3 linked regions of the Schizosaccharomyces pombe genome follow. The gene in region 1 interacts genetically with each later gene. Each region holds a gene or a part of one and is shown in the gene's direction. Other genes may lie near its edges. The genes, in order: atg7, pqr1 and vps1.

Region 1 (3,758 bases):
AATTGAGGGTGAGCAAATTTATGAAGAAGTCTCAATAGACCAATGTTTAGATGCAACTATACAACCAGACCAAATGGAGTATACTTGTGAAGCTTGTAAAAGTAAACTAGGAGCTACAACTACTACTGCCATGAAGTCGTTCCCGAAAGTCTTGATCCTACAAGCCAACCGGTTTGATTTACAGGGATATCAAGTTAAGAAATTAAGCATCCCTATAATAGTTAATGAAGACGGAATTTATAATTTCGATCGCTTAATGGCTAAGGACCACCCAAATGACGAAGATTATCTTCCTGAAAAGACAGAGACCATTGAATGGAACCAAAGTGCTATTGAACAGCTTCAAGCTATGGGATTTCCTTTAGTCAGATGCCAACGAGCATTACTCGCTACTGGAAATTCTGATACTGAAACTGCCATGAACTGGCTATTTGAACATATGGAGGACCCTGAAATTGACAAACCTATTGAAGTTTCTGAATTACTGCCCAAAGCAGACTCAAGTGTTTCAGAAGAAAATGTTCAATCATTATGTGAATTCGGCTTTACTGTTGCACAAGCACGAAAAGGATTGCTTGAATCTAACAATAATATTGAGCGCGCAGTTGATTGGATTTTAAATCATCCGGATGAAAGTTTTGAAGAACCACCACTTGAAGGATCAGATTCTTCAATAAAAAATGAAAATATGGGTAGTTGGGAATCGACAAACGTTCCAGTCAACTACAATTTAAAGGCCATAATAAGCCATAAGGGCTCAAGTGCGCATGCCGGTCATTATGTAGCATTTATACGCAAAGAGATAGATGGAAAGCAGCAATGGGTTTTGTTTAATGATGAAAAGGTGCTTCAAGTTGCCTCCTTGGAAGAAGCAAAAACTACCGGATATGTCTATCTTTTTGAAAGGCTAGATTGACATTAATTTATATCATTTTTTTTTTTTTAATAGCAATCATCGGAGCGTCTTATTGAATTTTGGGTTGAGCAGAATTTGGTAGCATACAACAACTAAATTTTTTTAACATTACATTATCAAAGAGACCCGGATTTAAGTCTTTCTTTACAAAATAGACCAACCATTCAGTTTGGCTTTAAAAACTCCTTTGACGCAAAAGTCGTTTTACAGTCATCACTCCCCGAATATTTGAAATAAATAAAAAATATCCTTAATAGCATTTTGAGTTACCTTCTGTGAACGAATTTCGTATTTTAAATTTTGAAAGAGTAGTTTTGATTGTAAGTATCCACGCACCATTCCAATTAAATGCTATATCGTCTCCACGGTCAAGAGTTTCAAAATATGTAAATTTGACCCTAAATACATAAGAGAGCTGACATTCATTTTATTTGAAAATATATCTGAAACCCAATTGTAAGCTACGCAGTTTGGTATCTGATTTAAGGATACGTAGAACTGCGGTGAGTTTTCCTTGTGATCTATTATATTACAATACACAGGTTGTATAAGTAGCAACTGAGTATAGGTATTGTATTAACTGGGTTATAATGTTACCTATCACTAATATAGCTCATAACTGAACTGAGGAACGAGGTTCAGCAGTAGCTCTATTTATAGTATTCAGATAATATTGATCTTAATAGATTATCATTAAGATCAATCTCCATATCGTATCATACATGGTACGATATATAATTAGAACATGTGACATATAGTGATACGCAACGTAGTGTAGTATTGCTGACACCAATGTAATTATAGCATATTTGCAATATTCAATATATTCTGTAATAACGCAGGTGTAAATTGGACTTGCCCTAAATAATTTCTAATTTAACGAAATTTAAAGCACAGTGATAAACAGTTCACGGCTTCAACATGTAATGACATCTATAATTTACTACACTACTTACTGTGTATACCCAGCAGTATATAGTAACTGTGTAGCAAACTAACGTTGTAGCAACGTTCAGAAATGTTTGTTGGAAAGGCATTGCAGTTTCAGTCATTCCATTCCTCCATTGATGCTACGTTTTGGCATCAATTGAGCAATTACAAAGTCGAAAAGCAAAAATTAGACGCGTCACCTTTAACTATTCATGGTAAATTTAATACATATTCAAGAGGAAATATATCAATTGTATTTGGAGAAGCGCCATCAAACAGGTAATGAGTGTACAATAATGCTTCATCTAATCTGTCCCTAGTAATATCAAAGACTGTTTAGCCGAGGGTACACTGTTAAATGCCAATACTCCTCAAGAATTTACTAACGCTGACGTGAAAAAAATTCGAGAGGAAATTGGTGAAGTTGTAAGTAGATTGATACAAAAGCTCATTAACATTATGTATAGTTATTAAATTCAATTAAAAACGGAGTTGTTTCTGAAAGGCCTAATGAATTACTTAGATTTCTTATATTTTCTTACGCCGACATAAAAGCTTACAAATACCATTATTGGTGCTTATTTCCTTCGTTTAAAGAAACTCCTCACTGGATTGTAAAAGACTTATCACCAGCTGAATCGCTAATACCTTCAGGTCCAATTTTATCTCAAATTCGTGAATTCTTGTCTACAGCTGATTACTATCAACGCCCTTTTTTCTTATTAATAAAATCAACATTAGATGAATGGACTATTGCACCTCTGAAGGAGCTTTCCCACTGTGTGGACAAGTCGCTTCAGGTATGCCATCGATTTTTAATCCAACTAACACGTAGTTTTATCTCGTTGCAGAAGATTCTGTTCAATTGGCAGAATATCCATCTTGGCCAGTCAGGAATATCCTCGCTTTTGCATTTATTAAGTTTAAATTGAAAGTGATTAATTTATTTCTATATCGCGATGGGATTAATTCTGATACGCTGTCGAAAAGCATACTAATAAAAGTTGAAGCAGATAAGGATATGATTCTTGAAGCACCCCTTTCAATCGTTGGATGGGAAAGAAATGGAAAAGGCGTTTTAGGTCCCCGGGTCGTTAATTTGTCTACGGTCCTTGATCCTTTTGTATTGTCTGAATCTGCTTCAACGTTAAACCTAAGCTTGATGAGATGGAGACTAGTGCCGCAATTAGATCTCGATCGTATTCAAAACTCAAAATGTTTACTTCTGGGGGCCGGTACTCTGGGTTGTGGAGTGGCAAGGAATTTGCTGGTAATGAAATTGAAATAAAATATTTATATGAAGCAAACGACCAAATTGCTAACGTTCTAGTCGTGGGGGGTGAGACATGTTACATTTGTGGATTACTCTACTGTCTCCTACTCAAATCCTGTCCGCCAGTCATTGTTTACATTTGAAGATTGCAAACGAAAGTTGCCAAAGGCAGAGTGTGCGGCGCAACGGCTTAAGGAGATATACCCGAATATGGTACAAAAAATTATTATGAATGCAAGCTAACAAAGAAGTTTTCAACGGGATATAACATCAGCATACCAATGCTTGGACACCCTATATATGAAGCTGGCATTGAGAAAACTATGCATGATTACGAAACTCTTGAGAACCTTATTTCCACTCACGATGCGATATTCTTGTTGACCGATACAAGGGAATCACGTTGGCTTCCGACAGTCATATCAACTGCCATGGACAAGTTGTTGATCAATTCAGCATTAGGATTTGACAGCTGGCTGGTCATGAGACATGGTAGTGTTTTACAAAAAGAGAATCGCTTAGGTTGTTATTTTTGTAATGACATATTTGCGCCTTCAAACTCACTAGTTGACCGTACACTTGATCAGACCTGCACAGTAACACGATCAGGATGTGCTAACATTGCTACAGCAATAGCAG
Region 2 (3,758 bases), on another chromosome or scaffold:
TTCAAAAAATGTAGAAAGAGACAAAAAGGCGAATTGACGAGAAACAACGAATCAAAATACTGTTAATGCTAAAAAATAAAGTAATATGCTATGGGTAAATTAAATCTGTGTTGACAAACCCGCAAATACATAATATGGTGTGGTCCCTCACGTCTCGCCAATGCTGAAGTAAATAAATACAACAAGCGAAACATAAGTTAAAGTTGTGTACGAAATCATTTGAACCCTAAATAAATTTGTGTTCTATACATGCAAACTTTAGACAGTTTGAAATCCGAAAAATCACTTTTGTAAAAAATGAATATATGAATAAATATATATATTAACATATATTGATATATGTATAATCTTAATACAGTTTACAAACTACTGTCTTCTTAATTAAGAAAACATGGTTCTCATGAAAACTTATATTGTTATTTAAGGTCTTGCTGCTATATATGCATTAGCAAAATGCACATTTCCAAAAAATGAAGTTAAAATTATCAGTTTACAAAAGACATTGAACTAAAGATCAAATTTTTCCACAACCGAATTAAAATGTAAGATTGTGTTTTTTAGAAGAAGCCAATGCGCTAATAATAATGCCATGCTTGCATTGCTTAAAAACAAACGAACTTCTTGCCTTCATGTAGCAAGGCTATTATCACGAATTTTCATGTTAATTTCGCTATGAATGCTTGGTCTTTTCTGAGTTAATCAATACTATTTAGCTAAGGTTTCGCTCATATAGAATACGAAAATTTCGCATTTATTAATGCAAATTTCCTCGATGTTTTTAATATATTGTGTTGCTAATCTGACTATATAACACTGCCTCTTCAAGGGACAAATAGTTTTAACAAAATTTGTTTACATTATTGAGTCAAGCAATTACGACCCGATGTTATAAGCATTACGCAGATTTCTTTTACAAAAGGGAGGTCTCTTTCATTTACCCCAAGCTTAGCATTACAAAATCATGTGCAAATGAGAAGACTACTTTTAGGGAAAATAAAAATCTAAACTTGATTGGAAAGCGAAAGTTTAAATCCTAAATTGTTTGAGGTTGACGTGTTAGTTTTTCACCGTAATAAGTAAATAGCATTGTATAATGAATAAAAGAAAAATTTTGATAGTTTAACAATTGCTGCTATTCATATTTTAATAGAATCTCAAAATTCATACTAATCGACTTTCTTATCCTTCTATATTCTTCAATATTTCAAACTCGTTTTAAGTCTCTCCTATAGCTTGGGATTATTCAATGAAATTGTAATTGTCGTCCTTTCCTTTACATTGTGAATACTAAAAAATTGCTTCTTCCAGAATTGTTTTATTGACTCACGGATTTGCAACATGTCCTTCTCCTCTTTTTTTTTTTTTTTTCTTTTTTTTTCTAATCTGTAAAAAAACCAAAATTTTACAATCTCGATAATCCTTTTAATGTCTATAGTCATCAAACACGTTTATCTACTTACTCAATACGATAATGTACAATAATTCCATACGAAACTTGCCCTTATCTGTTTTAGTTTTTTGTGGCACACCGTTAACTAATCGTGAATAAAATGGTTATTACAGTCATAGTCCGGTTTAATCGGATCAATCAAATATAATTAGATACCTACTTATTATCATATACATACAAAATTAAAAACAATACAAAAAAGAGGAAAACAAAGAGGCTCAACTTCTTACCGACTATCCTTTATCTCTCTTTTTTTTTTATTTTTTTTTATTTTTTCTCTTTTGGCACAGTGCTACAGAACATTTGTTCAACAACCCAACTCTGTACGTTTCACACATTGTCAGCAAATTGTTGACAATCAGCACAAGCCTCATTCTATAAAGCTAAGGAAGATTTCGTACCACTGCTGGTCTTCCAATTGCCCCTGCTTCCTTTCCTTTTACTGTAAGGCTTACCGGAAGGCCGTTTACTAATAACATTGCGAACCCGAGTGCGGTTGGGTAGTATTACCTATACCGCAAGTTCCTCCGCTCTTTTTATGACGTCAGGGGGAAATGCTTTGGTTTGCCACCTTGCGTCGTCTAACGCGGTGCAATATAAGGATGCGAAAGGACTGCAAGGATTTTCACCTGTCATGAACCAACAAGGATTTTGACGATTAGTACAGTGTTAAAACTTTTGAAATAGTATCGAAAATTCATTTACTATATGTATAAGTATTAAGGAGTTACGCATCTCTTTACAATTTTAAACACTCACGTACCTTTGGTTGAATCAAGCCAGGCAGGTCTCCGTTTGCGAACGACGGTTTCGGTTGATTCGAAACGTGGTATTAGAAAATCATTTTATTTATTTTCATTCCCATTCCATTTATCTATTCTATCTAATTTCGTCCCATTGTAGCTTGTTGTTTTATCACAAGCAGCTTTTAGGTCTTTGGGCTGTTACTTTTTTCTTCACTTCATTCCATTACTAATATATATATATTTTAATCAAAACGTACGCAATTCAACTCTGCGAAACTCTATCTTGCAAGCTTTCTTTCTCCATCTGCTTGTAATAAAGAAAATACTTAACTCCGATACTTCGATTGCAAAGGTCGGAGCACTCATTTTTATAAAAACCACAAAGCTTTCTCCTTCTTGGGCTTTGGTTTTTTATTCTGTAGTTTTACCGCCTTTCAAATATTTTGATTTCAATCTTTTGTAAAGGTTTCATCCTCTTTCATTTTCATTGAAAAAAAGTCCTTCCGATATGAAATTTGGACACGATTTTAAAAGGGCTCTCGAAAACGATATGCCCCCTGGTTGGGGCGAGGCTGCCATTCAGTACAAGGCCTTAAAAAAATGTATTAAAAGGTTCGTTTTTGAGCTGTCTTCCTTGGGTCTAAGTGCTGAGACCATCAGTAAATTGATGGCTCCGACTACCGTGGATCCCCAACAAGCTATTACGCTTAGTTACTCCCTTGGCAAAGAGGGACACATTGTTGTCCCCAAAATTATTATCAACGTAAATTTTGATAAATTGAAAACTGATAAGTTCGCTGCTTCAATGTTCAAGCAGTTGAATGCATCAAATATGATTACAACCGTCAGGAGTAATTATGCCTCAAATGTTCCTTCTACTCCTTCGGATTCTACTCAGCAGCCCCCTACCAATACGTTACCAAGTGTGTCCGCATCATCTCAGAGCGTAGAGACTTGTGAAACGGTTGATGAAGATATCGATACTCAAACTATGAGTTCTGACATGTCCGAAGTTCAAAGTATGGAAATATCGTTGAACTGTGACCACGAGTTTTTTGAAAAATTAACTTCGGAGTTGCAAAGTGTTGAAGGACTACAGCGTGAACAGCGTAAAATTCTTTTTAACGCAATTGATATCCTGAGTCATGAAATATCTCTTATAGCTTCCCCTAATTCCAAAAAGAAATACAAATCTCTTTATTGCTGGAGAAAAATTTTCGAAATTTATATGGATTCCGATATATTTATTTCTTGCAAGGAAGCTGATCAGAGTCATGAACGCACTCCCGAGCTCGCTGAGCGCCATTTGAAATGGTTTGACGATCAGGTCAGGCTAGCAAAATGTCTTCCCTCTTCCTCAAAGCATCGTGATCGTATTTTGTATGCTAAGTTTCTTGAACTTAATGAAAGTTTGTTGAAAGTTGCTTCTTTTCAGCAAATGAATAAGTTAGCCGTTACGAAGATCATGAAAAAGTTTGATAAGCGGACATCCTTAACCGCTCAACCTCTATTTTTTCAAGTTATCGAATCAGACCCTCTTCTTTTGGTCGACAATGCTTCTA
Region 3 (3,758 bases), on another chromosome or scaffold:
TAACAATAATTTGGCAAATAGCATTTCACGAGTGATATTTTTAAATAAAAAAGTAAAAATTCTTTTTAGGCTTTGCTTTTAATTAAGGATCACAGAATAAATAAAGGGTATGCCGCTTTTAAACGATTGAAACATTAATTAACGAAACCTTTGAAAGAATAAATAATTTGTCGAATTTTCTTCAACGAGCACATTAAGACAGTTTTGTTTTATTGACTTAAAAAAGACATGTATACTAAATTTATGTTGAAGACATTGAGTAAGTAGTGCATTGGTATGGTTATGGAGTAAGTGATCCTAGGAGGAGTACCAATCTTCCAGTCTCTTATTAAACGCTCGCTAGAGCATGAAGCAACCTATGCGTCGTAGCATTTGCTTAAAAATTTGGGTTTTACATGTATGCCGTTCATGTATAAACCTAACAGTATGCCGAATACAGAGAAGTTGGATTTTATAGTTAACCCAAATTTGCATCCTGTTTAGTAACAAATTTGTAAAAATTGTAATTTTATTGACAAAAAATTATTTACAAGATATCAAAGATATTGATTTGGCATTTGTATACGATAGAGGTGTCAAGAAACGAAGCAAAATGTGTAAGATTTTGACAAACTACTCCACGAGTTATACAACCATTTATTTTGATAACTAACTTTTGGAATGCTAGTATTATTTAGTTTTGGAGTCAAGAACCAAGACTTCATATGTTTCTCTATTTGTAAGTTTGCATATGGTATATTAATATGCTTTGATAAAAATTAGAGATATTATCCACTATGAAATTCGCTTCCATTTATTGCTAAAAAGGTCCCAATTGTTATTGGTTTTTTTCCAACAAAAAGCATAAATTGTTTGACGCTAAGGTGATTGCTAAAATTTGTCCAATGGCATGTGCAAATTGAACACACTTGTCGACTTCTAATCAGCAGCAAAACAGAGAATAATTAGCAAAAATTGCTGTTTCTATAAAGTCCATTCCCTTTTCCTACTGAACTAAAACTCGTTTTTGAATAAACTAGCGTATTGAGCACTGTCAGCTACGCGTAATGTAACCAATTTTTAAAACTGTGGTGGTAGTTTTATTTGAAATATACAATATTACGGTACGCAGCAAAACGCGTACTATATTATAAAGATTCTCGTAAATAGGTACTATTTTTACTTATCAGCAGAATAGCTTATAATTGTACTGAAAAACAAGGTTAAAGCAGTTTCCGTTAATTTTTTCAGTACTCAAGTATCAATGGGTAACTTTGTATTAAGATAAATAGCATTTCGCAATTATCATTAAAAGGATCTTTCCTGTTATTCCAACACAGGGCATATAGTGATACGCAACGTAGTAAAACGCAATATTAGTATATTATCGTTCGTTAAATATGGAATGATGCATCGCTTTAATATTACTTATCGAGGGTTAAACATTAGATTTATTGTCTAAAGTCTGACAACAACGTTTCAAGGGCATCACTGTTTCTTTTTTGGTAAATCAATTAGCAACACGATATTGTTAAGCCACCTTCAAGCAGCCTTACTGAAATCCGATTAGCGAGGTACTAATTTTATTCGACATATCCGAGTAAACACTACACTACCACAGCACATACCATCAGGTTTGTAACCGCCCATTCGTAAAATTGTCTATTTAGTGGATCCATAGTTGATAATGGATCCCTCATTGATTAAAGTTGTCAATCAACTTCAGGAGGCTTTCTCCACAGTTGGCGTTCAAAACTTGATTGACTTACCACAGATTACTGTATGTTGTGAATTTTAACTTAGATTGAAAAATTCACTAATAAATTGTTAGGTCGTACGGTCACAGTCAAGCGGTAAATCATCGGTTTTAGAAAATATTGTTGGGAGAGATTTCCTTCCTAGAGGAACCGGCATTGTAACAAGGCGTCCTTTGGTTCTGCAGTTAATTAATAGACCTAGCGCTAGTGGAAAAAATGAAGAAACAACTACTGATTCAGATGGAAAGGACCAGAATAATTCATCTGAATGGGGAGAATTCCTCCATCTTCCCGGACAAAAGTTCTTTGAGTTTGAAAAGATTCGTGAAGAAATCGTTAGAGAAACAGAAGAAAAAACAGGAAAGAATGTTGGCATTTCTTCGGTTCCTATCTATCTTCGTATTTACTCTCCTCATGTGCTTACTCTGACACTAGTAGATTTACCTGGTCTTACAAAGGTACCGGTTGGTGACCAACCTCGAGATATTGAAAAGCAAATTCGTGAAATGGTTTTGAAGTATATATCTAAAAACAATGCCATTATATTGGCTGTAAACGCTGCCAATACTGATTTGGCAAACTCAGATGGTCTCAAACTTGCTAGAGAAGTTGACCCCGAAGGTCTTCGCACTATCGGTGTATTGACCAAGGTTGATTTAATGGATAAAGGTACGGATGTGGTAGATATTCTAGCTGGACGTGTTATTCCATTGAGACTTGGGTATGTTCCAGTCATAAATCGCGGTCAAAAGGACATCGAAGGGAAGAAGTCTATTCGTATAGCTCTTGAGGCAGAAAGGAACTTTTTTGAAACGCATCCTTCCTATGGTTCTAAAGCGCAATACTGCGGTACTCCATTTCTAGCTCGTAAACTAAATATGATATTGATGCACCATATTCGGAACACCCTTCCCGAAATTAAAGTTCGTATTAACGCTGCTTTAGCCAAATATCAGGCCGAACTACATTCTTTGGGGGACACTCCTGTTGGCGACAACTCCAGTATTGTACTAAATTTAATTACTGACTTTTGCAACGAATATCGCACAGTTGTGGACGGCCGTAGTGAAGAGCTTTCTGCTACGGAGCTTTCAGGAGGAGCTCGTATTGCGTTCGTATTTCATGAAATTTTTTCGAATGGTATTCAAGCAATTGATCCATTTGATGAAGTTAAGGATTCGGATATTCGCACCATTTTGTACAATTCATCTGGCCCTTCTCCTAGTTTATTTATGGGTACTGCTGCATTTGAAGTTATTGTCAAGCAACAAATTAAGCGTTTGGAGGATCCTTCCTTGAAGTGTGTTTCCCTCATTTACGACGAACTTGTCCGTATTTTAAATCAATTGCTTCAACGTCCCATATTTAAACGTTATCCTCTTTTGAAAGATGAATTTTACAAGGTTGTTATTGGTTTCTTTAGAAAATGTATGCAACCCACTAATACCCTTGTAATGGATATGGTTGCCATGGAAGGTTCTTATATAAACACTGTTCATCCAGACTTTTTATCTGGACATCAAGCAATGGCGATTGTTCAAAGTCAGAATAGTAAGCCGATACCCGTTGACCCTAAAACTGGAAAAGCACTTACAAATAACCCCGTTCCTCCAGTTGAAACTTCATCATCTTCGGGACAGAATTTCTTTGGAAGCTTTTTTGGTTCTAAGAATAAAAAGCGACTTGCAGCTATGGAGCCTCCTCCACCGGTTTTAAGAGCTTCTACTACTCTCTCAGACCGCGAAAAGACTGATACTGAAGTTATTAAACTACTTATTATGTCCTATTTCAACATTGTTAAAAGGACATTGGCCGATATGGTACCTAAATCCATTTCTTTGAAAATGATAAAATACTCTAAAGAGCACATTCAGCACGAGTTGCTTGAGCAGCTTTACAAGTCTCAGGCGTTCGATAAATTACTCCAGGAAAGCGAAGTGACAGTGCAACGTCGTAAAGAATGCGAACAAATGGTAGAATCTCTCCTACAGGCAAGTGAGATTGTGTCTAACGTTTAATGAT

Evidence for each region.
Region 2: of atg7 (region 1) and pqr1, a mutation in one rescues a mutant of the other (synthetic rescue), as found in Schizosaccharomyces pombe (one study listed by BioGRID).
Region 3: mutations in atg7 (region 1) and vps1 impair growth when combined (synthetic growth defect), as found in Schizosaccharomyces pombe (one study listed by BioGRID).

The regions. Positions count from the first base shown.
Region 1 is NC_003423.3:2,634,771-2,638,528, reverse strand, and holds the start of atg7 (E1 Atg8 and Atg12 E1 activating enzyme Atg7), read left to right. Parts: upstream 1-1,920; 5' UTR 1,921-1,934; coding exon 1,935-2,125; intron 2,126-2,166; coding exon 2,167-2,272; intron 2,273-2,313; coding exon 2,314-2,646; exon of another isoform or gene 2,647-2,681; coding exon 2,682-3,116; exon of another isoform or gene 3,117-3,176; coding exon 3,177-3,332; exon of another isoform or gene 3,333-3,370; coding exon 3,371-3,758. Other genes in the region: ubiquitin hydrolase Ubp14, read left to right, coding at 1-916. UniProt on the Schizosaccharomyces pombe protein: E1-like activating enzyme involved in the 2 ubiquitin-like systems required for cytoplasm to vacuole transport (Cvt) and autophagy. Activates atg12 for its conjugation with atg5 and atg8 for its conjugation with phosphatidylethanolamine.
Region 2 is NC_003424.3:2,422,150-2,425,907, reverse strand, and holds the start of pqr1 (ubiquitin-protein ligase E3), read left to right. Parts: upstream 1-2,081; 5' UTR 2,082-2,704; coding exon 2,705-3,758.
Region 3 is NC_003424.3:1,997,251-2,001,008, reverse strand, and holds the start of vps1 (dynamin family protein Vps1), read left to right. Parts: upstream 1-1,593; 5' UTR 1,594-1,666; coding exon 1,667-1,759; exon of another isoform or gene 1,760-1,810; coding exon 1,811-3,754; 3' UTR 3,755-3,758. Other genes in the region: poly(A) polymerase Cid16, read right to left, coding at 1-24.